Rattus norvegicus: one gene and its partners. The protein of the gene in region 3 binds, or shares a complex with, the protein of the main gene of each other region. Links are inferred from orthologs where the notes say so. Each region holds a gene or a part of one and is shown on either strand. Other genes may lie near its edges.

Evidence for each region.
Region 1: Ripk3 (region 3) and Zbp1 share a complex: the UniProt entries of both Homo sapiens proteins name them as parts of the AIM2 PANoptosome complex. The link is inferred for Rattus norvegicus from reciprocal best matches to the Homo sapiens genes RIPK3 and ZBP1.
Region 2: Ripk3 (region 3) and Aim2 share a complex: the UniProt entries of both Homo sapiens proteins name them as parts of the AIM2 PANoptosome complex. The link is inferred for Rattus norvegicus from reciprocal best matches to the Homo sapiens genes RIPK3 and AIM2.

Annotation. Positions count from the first base shown.
Region 1 is NC_086021.1:182,408,088-182,418,770, forward strand, and holds the end of Zbp1 (Z-DNA-binding protein 1), read right to left. Parts: intron 9,186-10,683; coding exon 9,018-9,185; intron 7,668-9,017; coding exon 7,464-7,667; intron 6,301-7,463; coding exon 6,085-6,300; intron 5,057-6,084; coding exon 4,881-5,056; 3' UTR 4,880-4,880; intron 4,039-4,879; 3' UTR 3,578-4,038; downstream 1-3,577.
Region 2 is NC_086031.1:88,426,214-88,436,896, forward strand, and holds part of Aim2 (interferon-inducible protein AIM2), read left to right. Parts: intron 1-1,571; 5' UTR 1,572-1,756; intron 1,757-4,141; 5' UTR 4,142-4,161; coding exon 4,162-4,423; intron 4,424-8,356; coding exon 8,357-8,508; intron 8,509-8,592; exon of another isoform or gene 8,593-8,632; coding exon of another isoform or gene 8,633-8,776; intron 8,777-9,734; coding exon 9,735-10,154; intron 10,155-10,683. UniProt on the Homo sapiens protein: Sensor component of the AIM2 inflammasome, which mediates inflammasome activation in response to the presence of double-stranded DNA (dsDNA) in the cytosol, leading to subsequent pyroptosis.
Region 3 is NC_086033.1:33,259,847-33,263,446, forward strand, and holds the start of Ripk3 (receptor-interacting serine/threonine-protein kinase 3), read right to left. Parts: upstream 2,180-3,600; 5' UTR 1,924-2,179; intron 1,479-1,923; exon of another isoform or gene 1,343-1,478; intron 1-1,342. UniProt on the Homo sapiens protein: Serine/threonine-protein kinase that activates necroptosis and apoptosis, two parallel forms of cell death. Necroptosis, a programmed cell death process in response to death-inducing TNF-alpha family members, is triggered by RIPK3 following activation by ZBP1.

The DNA of each region.
Region 1 (10,683 bases), on a different chromosome or scaffold from region 3:
AAAGAAAGAAAGGAAGGAAGGAAGGAAGGAAGAAACGTTTTCCTTATTCTGTGGGCTTCTAGAAACATCCACAGCTGTACGGAGAATGGGTCCTGGTTTCTGTCAGTCTAAAATTGCTTTCCTCTTTCCTGGGACACACTCCACAAGGAAATCTCACCTCTCACTACCATTAGGGAGTGAATTTGGCGTCACAGGAATCATGATTGGTTCAAGAATCAGCATGTGACCTGTTCTCAACCAATCAGAATTCGCCGTGGGACATTTTCCTGGTATTTTTCTATTTGAAGTCTCTGCTAACAGGCGGGACTCTGCCGTAGGTGGCTGGCAGTCACACGGAAGGCGAGCTGTTGATAAAGAAGGCCTGGGTGCCTGGATACAGCCATTCTTGAAATCCTGCATCCTACGACCTCTGGGATACCTAATTTTACCCATTTCCCCAAAGCAACAGGATCCCGGATGAACTCCCCGTTCCCTTCCCTACGCTCAGCTTCCCGTGTTAGCTGTTTCCACCCAAAGCACAGGTGAAAGGCCCCTTCAGTGCCCAGGCTGAGTGGATGGCACACCCCCAACCAAAGGCCAAATTCTCTCCTCACCCTGAGGGAGGGGCAGGTGGGCTGAGGATCGCTGACTCAATCACTTCTTGCTTTTAATGGCGCCTCGTTAATTTCCTCTCCTGAGAGATGGCTTCGCCCTTCACCTCCAGCCTCCATTAGCCGCGCAGCACTTTATCAGCGCATTTATGAGAAATTAATTGCAGAGGGGGAACCGGCGCTGGGCAGCAAGGCCTCTGCTTGGGCAAGCTCAGGAGCTCAGTTTGTTCCCCATAGACACTGGGCTGGCTTCACTGTGGACCTCAGGCTGGCTCTGAGATCTGCCTCTGGCTTTCAGCTGGGTGGAGAAGGAAGATGAGACCAGCCACCTGCACTTAGCTTTCGTTGACAATGGGATGCCCCAAGGCAACATGCTTTCCAGACTGTCTGTGACCACAGTGACCAAGAAGACTGTGCCGTGGTACAGGATCCCTGTCCACAGCGAGCCCCACGGCCCAGCTTCCAGGGAACACATTTGCGGGTAAGCTGGCTTATGGCTAAGACTTGTACAAACAACCTCTGGCCTTGACTCCTTTGTCCACCGACTTTCTATCTCGGTTTCCTTTGCTCTTGACTTTCTTTCATCCCCAAGTGCCCCCTTATCTCTGTTGCCTTCCTTAGAGTCCGATCAGGTCTCAGACTTCCTCACCTGACCTCAGAGACCAGAACTTAGAGTCCTCAGCTCCCCAGCGCTGCTCTGAGGCTCAGAGGCTGCGGGCCAATTATTCATTGCAACCATCCCCTCTGAGGTGTGCCATTGACATCCAGCTCTTGGTTGCCACGGTTCCCTCTCTAGCCTCAGGGCCCAATGCAGCCTGCAAAGTCCCCAGAGGCCCCAGGGGATTGAGAGTGAGAAAACCAGGCTACGGGCCATGGTTTCTCCACCCAAGTGTCTCCTGAGCCTCTTGTCTGCGTAGCAACTCTTTCCTGAATGCTTCAGAGATCTGCCCATACACCCTTGGCCCATCCCTGCCCTCCACCTTCCCACAGCCTTGACTTCTCTGACAGTTTCTGTGACAGCTTCTCTCTGGCTCTGGGGGTAGCCTTTTAACACTAGAGGCCAATCAAGGAAGTGTCTTATTGCTCTGGCCCACGACTAGTTAGGGGGTGGCTTTCAGCTGGGTGGAGAAGGAAATCAGAGCTGTCATATGCACTGACAGTCATACTGGGGCCAAGGGCCATCTTCACTAGTACGGGAGAAGCAGAATGAAAGGAGGCGGGGGTTGGGTCAGCCAGAGCCCCTGGATGCAAATATTCCTGAAGCAGGACTTAAGCCTGGAACAATCTACAGCTCATCCCTTGTGCAGGCACACACAATCCAGCTTTCTGTCATCAACAAGCAAGCCAGTCTGCTCATCTGTAGAGGTGAGTGGTAGGCCTGGCTGGAGGAGAGTAGACAAGGATGGAGAGAGAGCCTGCAGGGTGGGTGGGGCCAGAGAGAGTACGCAGGATGGGTGGGGCCAGAAAGTGAACGTACTGGGTGGGTGGGGCCGGAAGAGAGCGTGCAGGGTGGGTGGGGCTAGAGAGAGTATGATGGGTAGGTGGTGCTGGAAGAGAGCAGTGTTGGTGGAAACAGAATAGTGCACGGAATGGATGAAGGTGGCCAGAGGTTTCAAAGGCCTTTCTGAGCTCAGAAGCTTTTGGTGAACAGAAGGTTCTGGGTGTGTGGGAGAGAAGAGAGGAGCTGCACCGGCTGTCCCAGCTCCAGCGCTAAGGGAACCACTGGGTTTTTTGACAAGTGCAGGACTAATCTCTGGTTCAGGGGTAGCTGGAATCACCAGACACCACATCCCAGCACTCCCTGCAGGAACAGGCTATCCCACTGGAGTGCTGTATGGATGCCTAAGATCCTTCTTAGGTATGGCTAAGGCTGGGGAGCCTTAGGATGGCTGGGCTGAGGACACCAAGAGTCCCTCTGAGACCCTGTGCTGAGTGAGCTGCACCAACACACACACCAAGACAGACGGACCCGGGGACATAGCTTCTAGGTACAACAGCCTACACCTCACACGAGAGGTAGAGCAAAGGGGGAGAAAGCACGCGGCACTGGGAGGCTGCACATGACCTGCACACACTAAGAGTCACTTGGTTCCACTCGGGAGCTGCCTTCCTGGCTAGCTGATTCTTCCTTTTTTTTTTTTTCCCGTTCATTTCAAAGCTCCATTACCCTTCCCCCAGCACTCAGAACCCCAAGGTTTTGGAAAACGTTAGCTATCTGGCATACGGTAAATGATTCCTGTCTGTTGACTGGCCAAGGCTGGTTGATTGACACATGGGCCAGCGAATCACTGCTACAGGGCCAAGGATTGAGGCGAGCCTTGCCTGTTTAGGCTGCTATGATCAAGCACCCTGAGCTGGGTGGGTTATGATGGTAAGAAAGTTGTTCGCGGCATGTGGATCCTGGAGAACTAAGGTCACCATGGCAGGTTCAGGGTCTAGTGAGGCACTCTCCTTAAAGCGATGCCTCATAGCCTCCTAGTGGAAGGCCGAGGAGACTAACGAGGCCCTCAGCTTTGTGTATGGCATCAACTGGGTGCAGTAGGCTGCCCTGGTCATGGGGCTTGGGAGGCAAGAGCCTTTACTTCTGAGCCGTCTCGCCCGCCCCTGGTTTAATTCTTTAAATCCGTTATCTGAGTGGCCTGACGCTCTTTAGTTTCAGAGGCACACCTTTGTACGAAAGTGCATCGCATTCATTCGGCCGTGAACCCCCACGACTGTGATACCCCCACAGCCATGAACCACTTTGGCCATGATCTCCCTTCCACCGTGAACCCCATGGCTGTGATCCCTTCTCACCCATGACCCCTCCTCGGCCTTGCCCCCCTCAACTGTGACCCCCCCCTTACCTGTGACCCCAATTGGCTGTGATCTCCCCTTGGCCATGACCCCCCTCAGCTGTGACACCCCTCCTTTGGACTTTACCCCCTTGGGCTATGACCCTGCCTCTCTCTCCCCCCATCCTCCTGTTGGTCCCTTCATTCCCTGGCTGGTGTCACGTGTACTTTAATGTCACATCTGTGTATGATTCCAGGAATCTATCATAAAGTCCAGGAGCCACAAAAGAGAGGAAGACGTGACCGTTGTCATTCTAAGATGGCTTTCATTCACTTAACGTGGTGGTCTCTGGTGTCATCTTCTTCCAGCCAATGACAACCTCAGTATTTTTCATGGCTGTGTGCTACTCCACATTCGCCCATCTTTTACTGCGGGACAGCAAGGTTGGTTCCATCTCTTATCTGCTGGGAACAGGACCACCGTCTGCATGGATATGCAGACGTCTCTCTGTGTTGACTTTTCCCTTCCGGTGAACACCCAGGAGTGGTACAACTGGCTCATATGGTTGACTGATCGATGTATTGATTGATTCATTGATCTTGAGGCAGGAAAGGTTGGTTTGGCTCATGGTGGCAGAGAGGTCTATGGTCTTGTGGCTCCATTGCTTTCTGGCCTATGGTAGGGCAGAAGGGCATGACAGGAAGAGATGACTGAGAGACTTGAAGGGGCATGACCCAGGCTGGAACTGGGGCTGCATGGGTAGAGCCTGTGAGGCATGCATGAAGCACTTCATGGGTAGAGCCTTGTGAGGCATACATGAAGCACTTCATGGGTAGAGCTTTGTGAGGCATGCATACATGAAGCACTTCATGGGTAGAGCCTTGTGAGGCATGCATACATGAAGCACTTCATGGGTAGAGCCTTGTGAGGCATGCATGCATGAAGCCCTACATTGGTAGAGCCTGTAAGGTATGCATGAAGCCTGCATGGGTAGAGCCTGTGAGGCATGCATGAAGCCTGCATAGGTAGAGCTTGTGAGGTATGCATGAAGTCCTGTATACACGGAGTTTCCTCCTTAGCATCTCATAAACTGGACTTGGTGGTCCATGCCTATGATCCCAGCACTCAGGAATTGGAGGCCAGGAGATCAGAAATTCAAGGTCACCCTTGGTGACATGGTGGATCAAAGCCGGTCTGGACTGAATGCACTGATTGTCTTCATTGACTCATTTTCTTTGCCCTCCCAAAGTCTCTACCCCAGCCCAATAACCTCATGAGGCAGCGAGCGAATCCATCTAGAGACTGTGTGTGGATGACTTTGCAGCCAGGACAGGACCAAGTTGTCAATACAGTGTGAGAATATCACATCTGGGTCACACACACACACACACACACACACACACACACACACACACACACACACACACATCTAGTCCAGGCCCTGTGTGCAGCCACAAACAGCCCCACAGGCCTCTCCACCTGTGCCTGTGCCCTCGCCACCTCCCTCCTCTCACCTCAGTCCTGCGTCTGACAGGTTTCTGCGGCCTGCACTTCATCCTCTCTAAGCATAGATTCTGTGATCTGGGGGCTGCCATCTCCCAGAGCCATAGCTGTCAGCTCAGAGGTGAGCAGGGTGGAGTCGCTGGGTGTGTGCAAGCAGCTTCTGGGTGGCGTGGCTTCAGAACTTGCACCTAGGGGACAGGGAGAAGAGGAAGGCATCCTTCAGACTCTTGAGAAGTATTTATCTGGCAACCACTGTGATGGGTTTCTGCTTGCCCGTGTGTTCCCATAGGACAGTTTGGAGCACAAATTTGACAGTTTGTTCCCAAACTGCCAAAATCCCCCGCCCCACACACATGGATTCATTCATTCATTCATTCATTCATTCATTCATTCACGAGTCTGTGTGTGTCTCTCTGCCTGTCTGTGTGTCTCTGAAGTCAGAGGACAATGGGTGGGCTCTCTCCTTCCACCGTGTGGGCCGTGGGGAGTGCAACTCAGGTCCTCAGACTTGGCAGCAAGTGCGTGCACCCACGGAGCCATCTTGCTGGCCCAGGAAGACTTAAATACTACACTGCACACATGCCTTCAGGCTCTGAAAGACTGGGCAGGCATCCACTACGGGTTTTAGGCTCCTGGGTCCCTCCCATTTCCCAGACTCCCGCCCCGTGCTGCTCCACCTCTCCCCTCAGGGTCTTGGCGCCTGCCTTTTTGTCACTCGTAACCCTTCTGCAGGACTTGTTGGCTCCTTATCTCCCACAGAGCTTCCTTGATGGCAAGGCTCACAACTTCCTCTCTGGGAGCAACCATGATGGCTCCCTAAAGGGTTCCTTACCTGGGCCTGGTGACTGTGACCCTCGACACCCCACCCATGGCCTGTTCTCACTGTGTGAGTCATACAGCACTTCACCGGATACCAGGACTTCCAGACATCCTGGCCCTCCTTGTTAATCTAACCATCCACGGGTAGGACTGTGTAGGATTCTCTTACTCCAGATCCAAAAGGTCTCTGCTTCAGTCCTGCTCGAAACGCTCTGTGGCCCTTTATTACCTCAGCGCCTGCACCTACATCCTCCCATAGCCTGAGCTACACGCTGGCTTTTGGTCCACTCGCTGAGCTCCAGACCCTGTGTCCTCCCACCAGGCCGTTGCCTTGACCCTTGAGGGCAGATGAAGAAATGAGGGCGGGCCACACACAGCCACCTGTGCCCAGGCTCACCTGTGTCTTCTTTCAGTTCTTGGCTGTCTGCAGACTCCTTGGCTCCACCCTTTGACCTACGGTGGATGGTCATCTTGTTGTTGTTGCCGACGGTCGTGTCCTCTAGCAAGCAGGATTTGATGTGGACTATCTGGGTTGTGCCTCCCTCAGGGTGAGGGCCTGGCTCAGGTGTTTGCATGTTGAATGCAGTTTCTGGGTCTGCAGTGGTGGTTGACTCTTCAAGTAAACCAAAGAGAGAAGCCAGGAGAAGCGAGCAATTTGCAGAGGGACTTGGCGTGTACACCCATCCTCACGGCTCAGTCTCACCAGTGACCTTGCAGATCTGGCCCATAGCCTCTGCTTAGCCACTCTACCTCCATGTCCTGGCACAGGTCCCCACTGGACTGGAAGCCACCCCCACCCCCACCCCTACCCTCCACCCTGAGCCCAGCAAAACCACTCAGGACTCAGCATCATCTTCTGAACCTCAGGAGGCTTCCATCTTCTCTGTGGCCAGTTCCCAGGTGGCAGATGAAGGGCATGCTGTCCTACTATGGTCCGTAATATTTCATGCTGTCCTACTATGTTCCGTACCATTTCATGTTCTCCTACTATGATCCATACCATTTCATGTTCTCCTACTGTGTTCTGTACCATTTCATGCTGTCCTACTGTGTTCTGTACCATTTCATACTGTCCTACTGTGTTCTGTACCATTTCATGCTGTCCTACTGTGGTCCATACCATTTCATGCTGTCCTACTGTGGTTCATACCTTTTCTCTCCCAGCCCCAGCTTCACCTCAGCATCCCCCTGAACCCTGATGTCTCCTCTTCACTTTCACACTCAAAAAGTCAGGAATGTCCTTGCCTGGCTTCCCTCCCTCCCCCTACATGTAGGTTCCCTTCACTCTAAGAAACAGTCACAGAAGGCCAGCACAGAGTCCTGTTTGCTGGTCCCACTGCTGTGCCCTGTCTCCCTGACCAATTTCTTTCTGAAGGCACTTCTCCCTGGCTCTGTTTGTCCCCCGAGACCTCATCATCTAAGAATCCACAGTTCCTGGCAGGGTCCTCGAGTCACTGTACCACCAGGACACTGTTATTACCATCGACTACCTGCTTCCTTCTCTGTTTCCCTAGACCACCATCCAGGCCTCTGCTCGCCCCTGTGATCTGGCTTCCTCCCACTCAGCCTCCATATGTAGGCGCTGACTGGGGTTTGCTGCACGTGGGTGCTGGGAGCCTGGGGACCCCGAGTGCCAGATCTAAAAGCTCGGTACTATTCAGTGATACCCCTCCAACGGGTCAGGGTAGAAATGAGTTTTCCATCATTGTTCTCTTCTGGCAAAGACTCTGGCTTCCGGTCCTTTCTAGATATGTGGGGCGACAGAGGCCACCTTACCTGGGGGGCTACTACTAAAGCTGAAAATGGGGTGTTCCACTGGATCCCTCTCGAGGTTCATCTCGTTGCCGTGGCCGAGCTGCACACGTCGGAGCATGGACTTGTTCAGGTGGATGAGTTGAGCTCCGTGGGTACCAGGGGGCGTGTCCTGAGCAGCAGCATCCTCTAGCACGGGTAGAGGGGCGTGGTGAGGAGTCCCGGGACCTGGGCGGGGCAGAGAATCAAGGATTCTCTAGAAACTCCAGATCGCTCTGTTCTCAGGCTCGAGCACCAGAGGCAGCTGGAGTCAGGCAGTCTGTATTCTCAGCGGGGGCTCAGGGTACTATTACAGCACCTGCCTGCTGGGTCTCCTCAACCTTTGTCTCCCATGGAAAGGAAGGCCGCCGAGGCCGGACAAGTCCTCCACAGCCTTGAGAAGGGTCCTGGCTGTGTTTATTTCTCAAGTGTTTTTAGCCTCGCTTTTATGATTTTTCAAATTAAAGGAAACGCAGAAACTTTGCGAATACACCTGAGTCTGAGAAATGGCGATGCATTTAACATCCCTAAGTAAAATAGGCAGACAGGAGGGCCATCAGAGCCAGGGGAGTCACGCTGGGGAAACGAGCCTCCTGTGAGGCAGATCTCTCCTGATAGCATGGGGGAATCTGGGTTGGGGCTGATACCCTAGTGCGTGGGTGGCAGGGCCAGAGTGTGAGGTGGCCCCACACCCTCTGAGCCATATGCTTATTCTGAGGAAACACTCTCTGGACAGTACCAACATGCGTCAAAACCAAATGCTGAGGCTGGGGGTTGGCTGGGAATGCTAAGAGCACTGCCCAGCAAGTGTAGGACCTGGGCTTGGATCCTAGCACCCATGTAAAAGGCCAGGCCAGACTGCAGGCACTTGCACCCCAAGGGCTGGGGGGACACTGAGACAGGATCTCTGGGACTTACTGTCTGCAATTCTTGCTCCAGGTTCAGTGAGAGACCCTGGATGAATGAGGTATGACAGAACAGGACACCTGACGTCATCCTCTGGTTCTGAATGGGCTTCAGTAAACACACACACACACACACACACACACACACACACACTTAGGTAGATAGGTAGACAGACAGACAGAAATAGGTAAATAGGAAGCCACTGAATATAAGATGACCCCAATTTTTTGTGGCATAATTTGAGAGACAGAAATGTGCTCAGAGCAGAGAATTGCAGTAACCCTCTCACCATGTCCTGCTGAGAGAGGGGTGGGGGAGGTGAATTATTTTCTTGCAAAAAAGTTTGATATCCTTGAGAAGGAGCAAAATTACAGGGAGTACAGGTGAGGTGTGGCCCACGGGTCTCTCTGAGGAAGGCTGAGTCTAAGGAGTGCCTAAGGAGATGGAGCAGTTGCCTTCTCCTTGGAGGACCAAGTCCCCTTTCAGTACCCCCCTTATCCAGGACCCTCCTCTTCCCACCACACCCCCCGACACCCCACCCCCCAGCTGAGGACTGACCCAGGGCCTTACACTTGCTAGGCAAGCGGTCTACCACTGAGCTAAATCCCCAACCCCTCAGGACCCTGCTCTTACCTGGGTCACCACAGATTGTCTGTCTTGACATAACATTCCCATGGCCAATCTGGATGGCTTTTGAGTTGGAAATAGAGATGAGGCTGTTGGGTCCTTGTTGGCAGATCATGTTGATCGGATTTTGCTGGTAAATAACCGCAGGGGACTCTTGTCCGACTCCGGAACAAGCTATGGAAAAATATCCCATTGAGTTCTTTGTCTCAGCGACAGAGGAGGTCTCTTATCAACAGCACTGAACTTCCATGGGTGTCTGCTGCTACAGGAGCCCAGACCCCCTCCTGGGGGCCTGAGAAAGAGGGTGTAAGGTAAGATCCAGGAGCTGCCTGGCCACAGCATCCTTCCTCCTGCTTGATGGACACAGTGGTAGATTGACAGGAGCCTCTCCTGACATCCCTGCAGCAGGCGATTTACCTGTGTGTCCCTGCCTCAGTGACTCACCGGGAGAATGGTGGAGACTCCCGCTCTCTTCCTACCCTGTCCCTGCTGCCAGAGCCCTGCAGGGCCCGTAGTCCTGAGCCCCAGGCTCCTTTCACTTCAGCAATGGCTAGAAAATGCCCCCTATGGTTGGTTTTCAATTTGGGTTTTGTGGGGAGTTTGGTAGTTTAGGATGATAGATTTGAACTTGAAGTTCTTCTCCTTCTGCTTCCTAAATGCTGGGATAATGTCTGCCTTCTTTGAGTGACGAAAACCCCCATGTTGGACAAAGTGTTCGCAAAGAGTCATTACTAATTCAGGCTGACCCCTGTGTCCAGGCTGAGCAATTCCAGTGTGTCCCTCCCTCCAGACTTTCTGCATCTCAGCCCTCAGAAGACTTCCAGAATCCTCTCAGTTGAACCACCCCCCCACCCAGGCTCCTCTCTCCTCACCGATGGCTAGAAGAAACCTCTTATGCAGAAATGTAAATTTTATTTGCCAGATATAATTGTCTCGGAGGCTTACTGCGGAATAAGCTCATCCATACTAGTTCTTCTTGAACTCTGGCTGGCTGGTTCAACTCAAAACTCCTCTCCAAGCTGACTTATTCAGTCTGGCTTCTCTCACTGAATTCACTGCTTTGCCTCAAACAACGGCAATTTGTTCTAATCTTCGGGTTCTTTTTCATTCTCTGGCTTCAGCCGCCTCTGCTGACCTCCCCTGAACTGCGTGAACTCAGGAATGAAGTCAGCTCTACTGTACTGAGCTCGCCACACTGACTTCCAACAGACTCAACCCCTGTCCCCTGTCAGGACAGCCATGTTTCTGGATTAAAATCCCTCTTCGCATACGTGGTCCTTAGGTTCCACTGACTTCATTAAAGATTTGGATGGCTCACTCTTCTGCCAAAGGCTGGAGACCTTACGGGCACTATGAATGAGGCGGGCAGGCTCATACCAGTCAAGACCAGCCGCTGGATGACCCTCCCTGCTTAATCCTGGCAGCAACCCTCCCTCCCAGAACACCTCCCTAAAGAGTATCAGTAAAATCGGACCCGAAGGCTGGAGGCCTTGCCCAGTGGTTAGAGCATCAGCTGCTCTTCTAGAGGATCCAGGCCTCAGTACCTACGTGGTGGCTCACAGCTATATCTGTAACTCAGATTCCAGCCAGGTCGATTCCCTCTTCTAACCTCTGCAGGCAGTGCACGCATGTGGTGCGTGTACACGCAGGCAATGCACTCGTACAGATAAAA
Region 2 (10,683 bases), on a different chromosome or scaffold from region 3:
GTTACACCCGAGTCTCACGGGCAGAGAAAACTCTGTAATGTGAGTAGGGGGTGTCCTTTGCCTACTTCCAGGCTGGTGACTTGAAGCTGTTGTACTAAAGCCTGTAGGCAGTTGTTTAATTCCATTGCGTGTTGGGAGGCTTTTCCTGTGAAGTGGGGCTCGGGTCTAAAAGGCTTTTCTTTCTGTTTGTTGCTACTTCCCACTGCAGTAAGCAGAATTCTGAGCTAGATTTGGGTCCTATCACCTGTGGGTGGAGACCTTTTTGCTCATCCTTCTGTCCAACCCAGATCCAAGGAGGAGAACTAAAGGAAGTGAGCAGACTGGCTTCCACAGTTCCAGTCAGTCTAACCCATAGTCTAGTCTAAGGGCTTATAGAATTCTTCCAGGGAGTGATATTTCACTGTGCTAGCATGGTACTGAGTTTAAAGTCTAAGGCTTGGGATGAGTTATTTCTCCTCCTCCTCTTCCTCCTCCTCCTCCTCCTCCTCCTCTTCCTCTTCCTCCTCCTCTTCCTCCTCCTCTTCCTCCTCCTCTTCTTCTTCCTCCCCTCCTTCCTCCTCTTCCTCCTCTTCTTCCTCTTCCTCCTCCCCCTTCCTTCTCCCCCTCCTCCTCCTACTATTCTTCTTCTTCCTCTTCTTCTTCTTCTTCTTCTTCTTCTTCTTCTTCTTCTTCTTCTTCTTCTTCTTCTTCTTCTTCTTCTTCTTCTTCTTCTTCTTCTTCCTCCCTCCTCCCTCCTCCTTCTCCTTCTCCTCCTCCTCATCCTCCTTCTCTTTCTTCTCCTCTCCCCCCTCCACTTTGTGAACTTGGAGGAGTGTCAACATGGACAAATCTTTCCCTTCCATTTCTTCATTGTGTCTTTTCTTACTATCCAATGAAACCAAGACACAAAGGTCTCTCACATGGCTTCTTTAGGTATTAGAAGGGCAGGTTGGGCTCTGTACAGCCAGTTAAAATTTGTGTGCCTGTGGTAAGATGGCTGCTAGGGGACCTTATTTAGCTGCCATCTTGTTCTGTGATCTTTCAACTGGGCTTCTCAGTCAAACCAAAGGTACCCTGAAAACAGCCCAGAAGATGCCTAGAGCTGTGTTTTTAGTTAGAGAAGCTTTGCTTACTCAGTCAGTGAATGTTTGTTGAATAGTTGTTGTATCACAGATGGTATTTTCAGAACTAGGACTGCAGAAAAGAACAATGGAGTCCTTGCCCACAAACTACTTTCACTCTAGCACAGAATGTGAACCAAAACACAAACAAAAACTACTGGATTGCTAAGTAGACAAGTAGAGAGGTCCTGGAAAGTTTGTGGTAACAGAGGAACAGGGTCAGCTCTAGTTTTATAAAATACATGCAGGGAAAGTCAAACAGAAACCTACAGAGAGGTTGGGTTTCAGTTATTCTGACACACTGTGAAGAGAGATAAATGGTTTTGACAGGGGAAAATGATGGCAATTTGTGATGTTATTATTAATATTTCGAGTTACAAATGAGCATGTAAGGAATGGTTGTTGTGAAATAACAGTAACGTTAGAATTTTGTTGTTTTGTTTTGTGGTTTGTTTTGTTTTTAATCCAAAGGTATCATTGCACATTCTGTGAATAATACAAAGGCAGTTGGCAAAAGAGAGAGCAGAGGGCTTGGATTCAGAAGACTTGAGGTCAGGCCATCTAGTCATCCTTTATAAGCTGTGTGGCATCAAGTAAGTGATTCTGCCTCGAATCCCAATTTAACCTACAACTGCTACGGAGCTGGTGTTTTCCAGGTATGCCATACAGGACAACTTCATGTCCTGGTAACACACCTCCTAGATAGAAAGTCATTCTTGCCAATATGTTCTTTTTCCGTCCCATCTCTCAGACTCCCTGTGCAAGCACTTTGAATATACACTGTGCGCGGTATAGCATGTGCTCTCAGATTGCAGCTGCCACTCTTGATGGCCATGAAGCTGCCAATCAGATCGGAGTGCATTTCCTTCGAGTATCTCCACTCTCTAACCAACCCCTCACTGGTTGTGTTTCATGGTGCTTTCAGTTGAACCCCAAGCTTCCTGTATAGTAGTCAAGGGCTCTACTGCCAAGATTCATTTTGGTCCCAACAAATACTTTACAACTTTTTAAGCAGACTTACTATGTAGTAAAATTGTATGTAAATAAGATAATCACCTTCAGAGAAATTGGTGTTTTAATTTTTCGTATAAAATGTGATTGAATGTGACTGTTTTTATTGAAGAAGGGTGTAGGAAGATTCAAATTTCACACAGACCAGTAGAACACAGGCTGAGGTGGTTAGCGCATTGCACATGCTAAGCCAGAGGAGACTTCCTTCCTCCCTGGTATCAAAAGGACTGGTGCCCTGGTGCAGATTTATCCCAATGCTATTTCAGGTGTATTTCTTAAGTTGGAAAAGATGCTTATGGTAGTTTTGAGCTTTGAGTATGAGCACCACCCATGTAAACAGAGCCACTCTGATCTTTTCTTTACCTGCCCAGTTTTTACCAGGGCAGTGATAAGGTGTCATTAATAACTCTACAGAGCTCATTGACATTGCCCGCACTGATGGGAAACCTCCGGGTCTTTGGCCAGTTGCTTTGCTCTTATGATCCACATCTTAGCCATATGTCTTCTACATTATTCTCTCAAAAGTAACATTATTAGCAATGTCAATGATATTCTCCTACATTGTCATCACATACTGAGGCACGTTGCTTGCCCATCTCCTTTCACTGCTTTTCACCTAGACAGCTGATAATTTCTCACAGATATGTGTTTTTTTCATGTATTCTGCAAAGAAGGTGTTTATTAATTATGGACACTCAAGGTGGTACAGTCCCAGCTTGGACCTTCTAAGTTGATGTTTGCATTATTTGTATTTTGATGAAGAAATTTAGAATATGCATTCAATGAAATGGAATACAATCTCACCTCTCTAACATGTCCTTTATGTACATTGTTCAGGAAGTTTTTCTTTTTTCTCAATGTAAAGTGAAGAAAACAATTCCAGTGTTTCTCAATTGTATTGCTATTCCTATTTAGGTATTTTATCTGGGTGAGTATTTACTTTTCTGTGATTTAAGGCAAAGATCAATAATCATTCCTCACATAGTTTTTGAATACTTTTCATTGCTTGTCATTCTTTCTTACAGATTTATTCATGTTGTTTCTGTGACACGTTTCTTTGTATGTGTGGTTTTGATTTAACTCTGACATTTTTCTGCTTTAATATCTGATTTTCTTAATTATTACATCTTTATAATAAGATGTAATATAAGTATTATATAATATAATATAAGTAATATAAGTATAATATAAGATGCCTATAAGTATTTATAGGCAGTAAGCATAATGTTTCTTGGTGAATATTTTTTAATCATTTTGTATATCTTTGTCCTTATCTTTTCACGAACTTTAGAATGATCCTTAGACATTTTCTCTGAGATTTTGCATGTAGTTTGTATATTAATTGACAAAGCTGACATCTTCATTTTATTGAATGTTCCCATTCAGAATATCACATACATCCTAAATTAATAGAGAGATAAGCTAAAGAACAGGGGAAAGAATCCGTAAATAGACAAACTCAGATATGGGAAAGTGAATTTTTGGCAGAAGAAGAAGTCATAGTCTTTTCCATGTGATCATGGAAGAATGTTTGCTATTGGAACAAGAGGATCTTTTTATATTTTTATACCATATACAAAAGAATCCAGAATAGGTCATAGATATACAAGTTAAACCTTTAAAATCTCTAGAGAAGAGCTCAGGAGTTAGCTCTTCTGATCTTGATTGGAAAAGAGGGGACACCCAAAATGTGGTCTTCAAGCCAATGAACTGGTAAATGTATTTTGAGAATATATATGTTAAGGTTTTAAATTGTATGTCTGAAGTATACATACTATGTCACATACCCTATGCTTTAGAGGGGACAGGAACATAGACCCTAAGAATCCCTAGGTTATCACATGCCCTTTGAAAGAATCCTTTCCTGGCACTAGTGACCATCTTGCATAGTGATTCACCTTTCATGTTTCACCTAAGGCTCTCTTCCTGCTCTGTCATCTTGGGTATTTCCTGTTACCTATTCACCCTGTGTATCCTGAGTGGAGACTTACATAGAATGCTGTAATCTTACAGTCGAGGTTTCTTTTTAGGCTGATCCTGAGTCTGGGAGATGGAGAGTGACTTTCGGGAAATGCTGTTGTTGACCGGCCTGGACCACATCACGGAGGAGGAACTGAAACGGTTCAAGTACTTGGCCCTGACTGAGTTTAACATTCCCAGGAAGACACTGAACATTGCAGACAGGACGGAGTTAGCTGACCAACTAATTCAAAGTGCAGGAGCAGCATCTGCGGTGGCGAAAGCCATTAGTATTTTTCAGAAGTTGAATTATATGGATATTGCAAAGGCTCTTGAAGAGAAAAAGAAAGAAGGTGTGTAGAGTGCCCCCTCCCCCAATGAGATGAGAGAAATGAAGCCCTTGTACACTGCATGGTAGGAAATTAATTTGCTTAATCACCAGGCCCTTCACCTCCCTGCTCGGGAGTCACTAAACAGCATGTTACAAATTCCTTAGCCAGTAGTGAGGGCTGCCACCGTTGTCTCTTTCTCCACCAAACTATTGGTAGAAACTGTGGAAATGGGATGTCGGTGTTAATGTCCAAGGTCTCATTACACAGTAGTTAAGGTTTTCACACTTTGCTGAAGGCCTGTCTGTAACATTAAGAAAGCACATCCTTGAACAGACAAACCAGAGACTCCTTTAACTTTGCCATGGATTATCCACTTCTGTACTGAGCCATCCTGCCATGGTCCCAGTCAGTATTTTTTTTAGGAAGCCTTTGTGCTTCTACTCCATGGAATTTTTATTCCCTTATTTATCTCCAGTATAGATGCCGTTACAAATTTTCAGGACACAAAGCACGTGTTTGCATTCAATAAGCCACTTCCGGATTTCCACAGAATCATACGCAGGTTGTTAAGTTCCCAGTCGCTCCCTAAGAACAAGTGGTGTTTCCTTTGTGTTCAAATGACTAATAAGAGCCAACAAAAGAATACTTCATCAAGGGAATCCTTAAAATGAGAGATTCCAAAGGCAGTAGTTTAGGGACACTGTAATACAGAAGCTGCAAAATGTTACCTGATGGCAGAGTTGATGTGTGTGATGCAGGAGGAGAGGCTTGGCTTCCCGAGGGTTATTTCTACACCATTGAAGTGATGAAGTAAGGGCAAAATCACATACAGATGTGAGATGTTATATGACTTTGAGGAACTTAGAGCGAGGCCTGATTAATGATCATTTTAAGGGTGGCTGACATCGGATGGAAAGTGTAGTTCTTACATTTGACCACATGGTGACAGTAAGAGCACACCATTGCTCCCAGTCACTTCTGTTCATCTACTGGCAACCCAACTGAATAATTCTGATAGCATCGTTTAGTTCCCCCCCTCCCCCCAATTACTTTTTATTTGTTTTTTTTTTTCTGGATAAGATGATATAAAACACCGTTACTTAAAAATTTCCTTCAGTTTACTGTTGTAATGATGGTGGAATTTTGATTAGCTCAAAATGATCTACTTTGAGACGTGGTTGAAAACTCAGGGGTGAGTGCTGATCTAGAAGTCAGTTTAGTTTCTTTGCAGCTTAGAAGCACTGCCTGAAGTCATCTGCAAGCTTGCCTCAACCACCGCCGTGTCAGTGATGCCAGTGGCTGTTATGGTAGAGCACTGATCTCTGGGCTATTTCCGAGAAGTTTCACCTCGTATTTATTCTAGTAAATGTTCAGCATGTCATGACCTTGCCTCATGAAAAGTGGGGGCTATCTGAACAACTTAAACAATGTCATCAAAGAATGATAACAGGCTTGAGCAAGAGAATGGGTAAGAAAATTATGAGGACAAATAAGTATGACAAAGTCAAGCAAATCTAAGCAAATTCTCTAATTATAATGATCTTAGATAGGTGAAAAGTATGCATCGAATTATTTGATAAAATGAGAGGTATCTAGCGGAAGATGACAGTTTTCCAAATGCTTCCTCACAAAACTGTGAATGACCTTTATAAAAAGGTCAGTGTGATTGATAGGTTGGAATAGCATGACATGTTTATTCCCTTGAGCTTCCTTAACTCTTTCTCCTCTCCTGTGCTGTCAATATAGATTAGATATTCTTATGTGCACATTTATCAAAAAAATAAAGAAAAAATTTATAGAACTAACCATTAGAAGATCAGTTGAACTTCTTGCAAACATATTTAATCATTTTGGTGTTAGTTATACACCATCATCATATCCTAAGTTTATGTACCATAACCGCACAACAGAGTTAGAAATGGGACAAAAATATCTAGTAAGTTTATAGTTTTGCATTGGGTTTCATTCAGAGCTTTCTTGGGCACATGCGATTCACAGACCAAAGATTAGACATACCTACAAGAACAAATGTCTCTATAGGATTCCTGAGCAAGACTCAAATCCTTTCTGTTGTCTGAAATAGAGTGACAGAATAGTTATTATGTGACCACTGTTAGCCATATACATTAAATTATTTGATTTCTAACAAAATTAAATCTGTGCACATTCTGGAATGGTTCAGATTCTGTGAGAAACCACATCTAAAGAGGTTCTTATCACACCTTTACCTATAAGTTCCTTAAGTAATTGAACACCGACCATATTAAGAGATGGTCACTTAAAAATCAGGACAAGAAGTTTCTTTTCGGAATAAAATAAAGGGTTAGTGTCTGCACATTTGAGGAAGAGAAAGCAGTAACTTATTCTTAGTCCTTGTTCTATTTCTTCTTCATTCTCTCTTCACTCACCTACCACCCTATTCTTTAACCCAGGCTGCGCTTTGCATATGTTGGCTAGTATCAATTACAAGGAGATACCTTGTTTCAGGCTCTCCGATTGGACCGGGTGGCTGCTTGTATTCTGTGGTCAAATAAAAATATTAACTACATTGTATGGTTTAATAAGATCACTAACTGGACTTAGCAGTGAGGTGGAGCTGCTGGCTAGAGTCTTTGATCCTCTTTAATTAACTAAGTTTGCAGGATAAAGGTCCTAAATGGGCAGCATTGCTACTTAGATTCTCCATTTGTGTATGGCCGAAGATTGGGGTCTGAGGATGGGAAGGATGCTGCTGCTGGGACACTTGGTATGGGCATGACCTGAGACGACCACACACACACACACACACACACACACACACACACACACACCCCACACCAGCCCACCCCACACACCCATGTATAAAATAAAATCGTAGACTTTTATCCCAGTTTGGCTCACGCTGAACCGCAGGCTCGTCACTCTCATCACTTCTCGGTCACTAGGTTTGGGGAGACCAGGTACTCTACTCCAAAGAAATATTGGACACACTTGCCTTTAGCAAGAAGCCCCCCCCCCTTTTTTTCAAACACTGGGGCTGAGTGGTGTGATTTTCTCAATAGGCTGTGGCTAGCAATGTCAGATGGTTCCTTTCAAAGACATTTGTGTGCATGAGATTGCCTATAACCTTCAGGAAGCCTGATATGTTGCTCTGAGGCTGGGTGGGGTCAGCATTCCACAGTGGAGGAAAGGCAGATTTGGATGCTGTGCTCTACACACATGCATATGTGTATACCCTTACCCAGCAAGTCTCAGGTCTTTTACAGAGTAGTAAGACCATAGGAAAGTTGACTATGATTCAAAGCCAACAGATCTGTTGCATGAGGCTCTTAAAGGTGCTATTGGATATTCTGTTTGGGTGACTCCACAGTAAGACCCACTTCATTTTGTTTATGTCTAACTTATCCCTGTTATTCTAGTCTTGCCAGTGTATTCAATATTTCTTAAGGGATGAGGTGAGAATAAACCTTCTACAATGCCTACATTATAGTGGGGTGCCACATGGGCACTCCCTGCCCTTCATCCTCACCATCGAAGTTGTAGAACCATGGGGTTCTCTCTATACAGTACTGTCCCATTTTGGGGGGGAGATAATGTGGTTAAAAATGAAAACATTCCACTCAATCTCTAGAGGAACTTTTCTCAGTCTTATGGTTCTGTTGCATTCAGAGATTTTCCCAATGTGCCTGTCTGTGGATAGTCATGTGTTGTATTCCTGTGAGGACCTGAAGATGGGAAACTTCTAATCCATCACCCTGCCACTGTCTCCTTTCTAATTTTCTTCTTGAAAGTTAATGGTATTTTAATGATATTTTAATTAAAATTAGAATTCTAATGAGAATTCTAATTCTCAGCTATGCTTATCATAGATTTTAATGTGTCTTTTTCTTGTTTCTTCTTTTTTTCTTCTTTTTCTTCTTTTTTCTTTCTTTTCTCCTTCTCCTCTGCCTCTTCCTCCTCCTCCTCCTTCTTCAGCTGAAAGTAAATATGTGACAAATACAAAGAAGAGAGGAACACAGAAAGTAGAAAATAGAAGTCAAGCTAAAAACTGTTCTGTTGCTTCTGCCACCTGCAGTGACAAAGACTTCAAGGGACACTCTGCTACAGAAGTCTGTCCTCAAGTTAAGGTAGGCTAGTGCCACTCTTATCAGAGCATTTTGTCATCACTATCCCCTCATCCACCACATAAAGTCTTCTGCTCTTTGTCTCAGAACATACAAACCAAGAAAACAAGGCTATTATAGGAAAGATATGTCTGCATTACAAAAAGAAAAGTCACTCAAATTTATCAGTGTCCATGCCCAGGAAGCTCCTAATTTCTGCCATGCTCTGGACATAATAACATGTTGCTATGTTAACCTCTATTTGAAGAAAACTCTGCCGGGACCTTATACAGTGAGTAATTTTCAGGGTGCTCTTATCACTAGTTCTTTTGAGAAGGTTTAGGATGAGAGAGAACGGGGAGAGTTCTAGTTCAATAGATTGCAGCAAAGAGTTCAACCTATCCATGGGAGACTTGGGGGCTAAGAATGCCCTTCAGGATTGTCATGATGTGGGTAGAAAAGACAGTTCCTTTAGTCACGATGTGCCTGCTCTTATTGTGGTGAAATAAATGGCTCTTTGTAGCAGAGGGAATAAAACTGGAAGACAGTCCTTGTCCCTTAGTCCTAATAAAGTAGCATGTACCACAAAATCCACTAAGCATCTTCAATTTCATTTTCTGTAATGAAAATGTCACGTAACTTTACAGAGGAGTCAGCTTAGGGTATGGGCACCATTCTATGTAGAGCACCCAACCATTTCTTCTGTGTTTGGCTCAGAAATTTCCAGAATTGTCAAGAAAACAATACAGTACCCAAGTTTAAATGTTACAATTGAACAAGTAGACATAAAAATACATATTGTATAGTCTCTGAAAAATCCAAATAAAATGCCTAGGACTGAAGACATATTCTAAAGTAGTTCTCAGTGCGGGAGCTCTGTGCACACCACTTATTGAAGAGCCAAATAAATGCTCAGCATTGGAGGGAAAACTATGCTGTCATAGAATCACAAGGAGATAGAATCTAATTCAGCCCCTCACAATGATTCGGGTGTCTGACACAGTCTTTTCATAGCAAAGAAGGGTTCTGATTCAGGAATTTTGTCTCCAGAGTCAGTGCACTGCCCCATCTGAATACTGAGCGCAGAGCATTCCTTTGATGTCCTTTCAATCTAGGTAGTTTCAAGTCTCTACTCTCTTCCTAACGTCTCCATTTTCCCTTCAGCTCAGCTTCTTTGTTTCTGGGGCCTTCCTGAGAATGAAGGCTGCCTGAGTGGATCCATAGCTAACATCTTCTTTCTCTTGTCACAGCCTCAGAAGAAACAGATGGTGGCAGAACAGGAAGCCATCAGAGAAGATTTACAGCAAGATTCACTAGTAGTCATGGTGCTGAAAGCTATGAATCCCTTTGAGTGTGAGACCCAGGAAGGAAAACAAAAGATATTCCATGCCACAGTGGCCACAGAGACAGAATTTTTCTTTGTAAAAGTTTTAAATGCACAGTTTAAAGATAAATTTATTCCAAAGAGAACAATTCAAATATCAAATTATCTCCGTCACAGTTACTTTGTGGAGGTCACCAGTTCCTCAGTTGTGGTTGATGTTGAATCTAGCCACAAAGTCTGCGTTCCTAATAACATTATGAAGAAAGCTGGAGAAACTCCTAAGATTAGTAAACTGAAAACTCTGCCGTGCGGGACAATTGTGAATGGCTTATTTAAAGTCCAGAAGGTAAGTTCCTATATGCAATTTTATATTGATCAGTAAGAATAATATAACATATAACACCTATTGGAACTTTAGAAATTAACTTTCAATGTTTTCACCCTAAATAAAAGATAAAACAATAAAAATAAATTTAAGAGTTGATTTTAAATAGTTTTAACAATTTTTTTTACACAAAGTTAAGGGTTTGTAGGGTGGTAATTTGCCAAAACTTGTGTACAAAGCTGGGAAATTTTTATTTTGTTATTTTGATTGTTCTGCTTTTGGAGACATGGTCTTACTGTGTAGCTTTCTCCTGTGTGGCATGCACTGAGATTTCCTGTCTCTACCTCTTGTGTGCTGGGATCCAAGTGCATGCCAGCACACCCAGCAAAGGTTTGATTTTGAAATTACTTTCTTTGTAGCTTCTGAAACATAGACACAGGCATTTCCCCTCTGTGTTGCTTTTATACACTTATGTACCATCCATATTCAAAGTCACTTTTGTTTTGAGCACTCTGCAGAGGGCTGATGTGCAGGGATGGTTTGAAGACAC
Region 3 (3,600 bases):
CAGATAAAGATAAAATTTAATGTATCAGAAACGAGATTCAGGGAGTAGGGAATGTAAATCATTTGGCGGGTTTCCTCTCTTGCCAGAAGCCATGAGTTGGATCCCAGCATGTGTGTAAACCAGGAGTGGTGGAACACCCCTGGAATCCTATCATCCCAGCTCTTTGATGGTGGTGGCCAGGGGGCCAGTTTAAGGTTATTAATAGTTACGTAGTGAGTTTAAGGTCAACCTGGGCTACCTGAGACCTTGCCTCAAAAGGGGGCGGTGGTGGTATCTGAAGATCGATTAATGAATATTTAACAGTCTGTGTTAATAAGCGTTTTGGCTGAGTGTAAACATTAAATTTTATTGGGGGAAATAAAAGAAACGTAAAAAAGCTGGGCTTGGTAACGTGTGCCTGTAACCACAACACTTTGCAGATCTAGGCAAGAAGATGAGGAATTGGAGATCATCTTCTGATAACTCCCAAATTCAAGGCCAGCCTGAACTACAGGGTGAGACAGGGACTATCTCAAACAATAGAAAAGAAACGAAACAAAGAAGTATGTATAGACCTGTTTAAAAAAATATCTGGGCCTGGAGAGATGGCTCAGAGGTTAGGAGCACTGACTGCTCTTCCAGAGGTCCTGAGTTAAATTCCCAGGAACCACATGGTGGCTCACAACCATCTGTCATAGGATCTGGTGCCACAGTGTGTCTGAAGAGAGTGACAGTGTACTCATATAAAATAAATAAATCTTTTTTTTTTTAAAAAAGAAAAAACTCAAGTTAATAAAAAAAAAAAGAAAAGAAAAAGAAAAGAATATCTGAATAAGAGATAGATATATTGGCCTAGCACAAGGGAGGCTGAGGCAGGAGGATGGTGAATTTGTGGCTAGCCTGGTCTATGTAGTAAGATTCTGTCTCAAACAAAACTAAGTAATCAAGTAGGAATATGTTCTAAGGAGTTGTTCTCAAATAGGGGTTCATGGGTGGATGGTTTTTATTTTCTTGTACTTTTTTTTTTTTTCTGTTTTTTCCGGAGCTGGGGACCGAACCCAGGGCCTTGTGCTTGCTAGGCAAGTGCTCTACCACTGAGCTAAATCCCCAACCCCATTTTCTTGTATTTTTATGTTATTTATTTAGATGAGGTTAGAAGAGGGTGTCAGATACACTGGAATCGGAGTTAGAGGCAGTCGTGGGCCACCTGCCTCCGTCATTGAGAACTAAACTTGCATCCTCTGGAAGAGCAGCACACGCTCCTAACTACTGAGTCATCTCCCCAGCCCTCTATGTTCTTATTTAAAACTTGATATTCTAATTTTTCGGAGATGAATTTATGAGGTGTGTACTGAATTGCAGCCTCCTGTTCTCCCTGGGGGTCCTATACTGAGATGAGGCTGCTTCCCTCTCCTTCCTGCTCTACTGTAACCCAGAGACTCTTTGGTGTCCGCCTTTCGTTCCTGACTGAAATTACTAGGTCATGGAGTTTGCCTATGGTAAGATTCTGACAGCGATAAACTTGGAGATGTGTGTGTGTGTGTGTGTGTGTGTGTGTGTGTGTGTGTGTGTGTTGCTTTCCGGTTCAGGAGGGTGTTGTAATCCAACAAGGAAGTTCACAGGACAAACTTACTTTCTGTTTCCTTTTCTGCCCAGGCATCATGTGACATTACCATCAACCATGACAAGAGTTGGCCTTTTTCCCCAGACGATATACTTACTGTTAGCGATTCGCCACAGGCTGAGGCTAGACACACTGCAGATAAAGAAATTAGAAACTCCCCAAACTTTTTTGTTTTGGCCTGGATGTAAACAAAGTGTTAAGGGGCAGAAGCTGGAGAAGAAGGGACAAGGCCCGAAACCTTGCGTTGAAAGGCAGATGGCCCCCCAGCACCCCAGGATGGTGGGGTCAGGTCAGCAGCTGAGACCCGGCAGGATGCTTACCTTTGACCTCTTGTTGGGTCTGGATGGCATGGCCCTCCTCCTCTCCCTCAGCCAACAGCAGCCCTGGCAGGGCTGCTCTCCCAGCTCCCTTGGCAGACTCTTCCTCTTTCTAAGGCTTGATTCCCCTGACTCCTTGCCAGCTGCTGCTCCCTACATGGCCGGGACAGCCACAGTGCATGGGACAGCTACTTTTCCTCAGGTAACAGTGACCAAGTCTGGAGACTCTTTCGGCCAGTTAGGCTCAGCTTGGGTCTCTGTCACGCTTATGGAGTTCTTCTGGGGTGCTGTCTTAATTTGCCTTTGGTCACCACAGTGACTCATGGCAATGGCAGTTAGCAGTTGCAGATTCTTACACTCCAGTGGCTTCCCTCAGATGTTAGAGCTAGGTTCCTGTTCCTGTCTTGGGGCCCTGCCTGTCACCCCACTGTCTTTGTGGGGGCCAAGGCTGTTTTCTCTCCTGGATATCCTTGTGTTGTAATTATGTACAGAAGGTCAGGTTGGCCTGAGGTGGGTGCTCTGTCCTTTCCCCGTTCCACAGTGCGTCTTCGATCCAGTTTATTTAAGAGGATATGTTAGGAAGTATCCTCCGTTTCCTTCCCATCCATGTCCAGCTCTCTCCTAACCCACTTGCTCTGTATGCTCAGGCCTCTATGCTGAGAGTCAGAAAGCCTCTTTCATTTTGTTCCCTTCCAGCCATCAAGCCCTTCTCTGAATAAGGGTCTTCCCTTGAGTCCAGGGGATGGAACCCAATGTTTACATTCTCTTCTGTCTTGGTCCCACCCAGTGGCAGTTTCGTGGTGCTTTGAGGAACCGGAAAAAGAACCTGTTGTTATATCTGGAAAAAACAAACAAACAAACAACAACAACAACAAAAACAAACAAAAACAAAACAAACAAACAAAAAAAACCCCGAAGTGTTAAGGAACCTTTTTTTTTTTTTTTTTTTTTTTTTTTTTTCTGGAGCTGAGGACCAAACCCAGGGCCTTGTGCTTGCTAGGCAAGCGCTCTACCACTGAGCTAAATCCCCAACCCTGGAACCTTTTAAAAAAAAAAAAAAGGTGGACTGCTCTTCCGAGGTTCTGAGTTCAATTCCCAGCAATCACATGGTGGCTCACAACCATCTGTAAGGGGATCTGGTGCCCTCTTCTGGTGTGTCCGGAGACAGCTACAGTGTACTCAGACAAAATAAATAAATAATTCTAAAAAAAAAGGTGGCAGCACAGGTCCGTTGTCTCTGCCTTAACTGATGGAAAATGTACCTCACCAGAAAGGGAGAAATATCCCTAATGGGGGGGGGGGCACCACAAAACCAAAAAATCCAAAACCAAACCAAAACCAAACAAAGGAAAAACAAGCCAAACAGCAACAATCTGCCACTTTGAGGGACTGTGCTGAGCTTGGAGAAGTCAGGATTTGGGCAGAAAAGAGATACAATGTAAGTTTCTGCCTGGAAGCAGACCTCAGCGGCTGCTGCCCACCTTCCCTTCTCCTGGCAGCGTTCTTTTGAAGGCTTCCAGTGCTGAAAGTATATCCTTCTGCAGGACTCCATGCAAGACAAAGCCTCTTGTTTTTCTGTGCCGAGCTGAGATGACTTCACAAAGTTACTGGGTTATGTGTCACCCGTGCTTCCTGTCTCAGAAAAGTAAAGCCCTCCCTCATTCCCTCATAGAAAGGAGT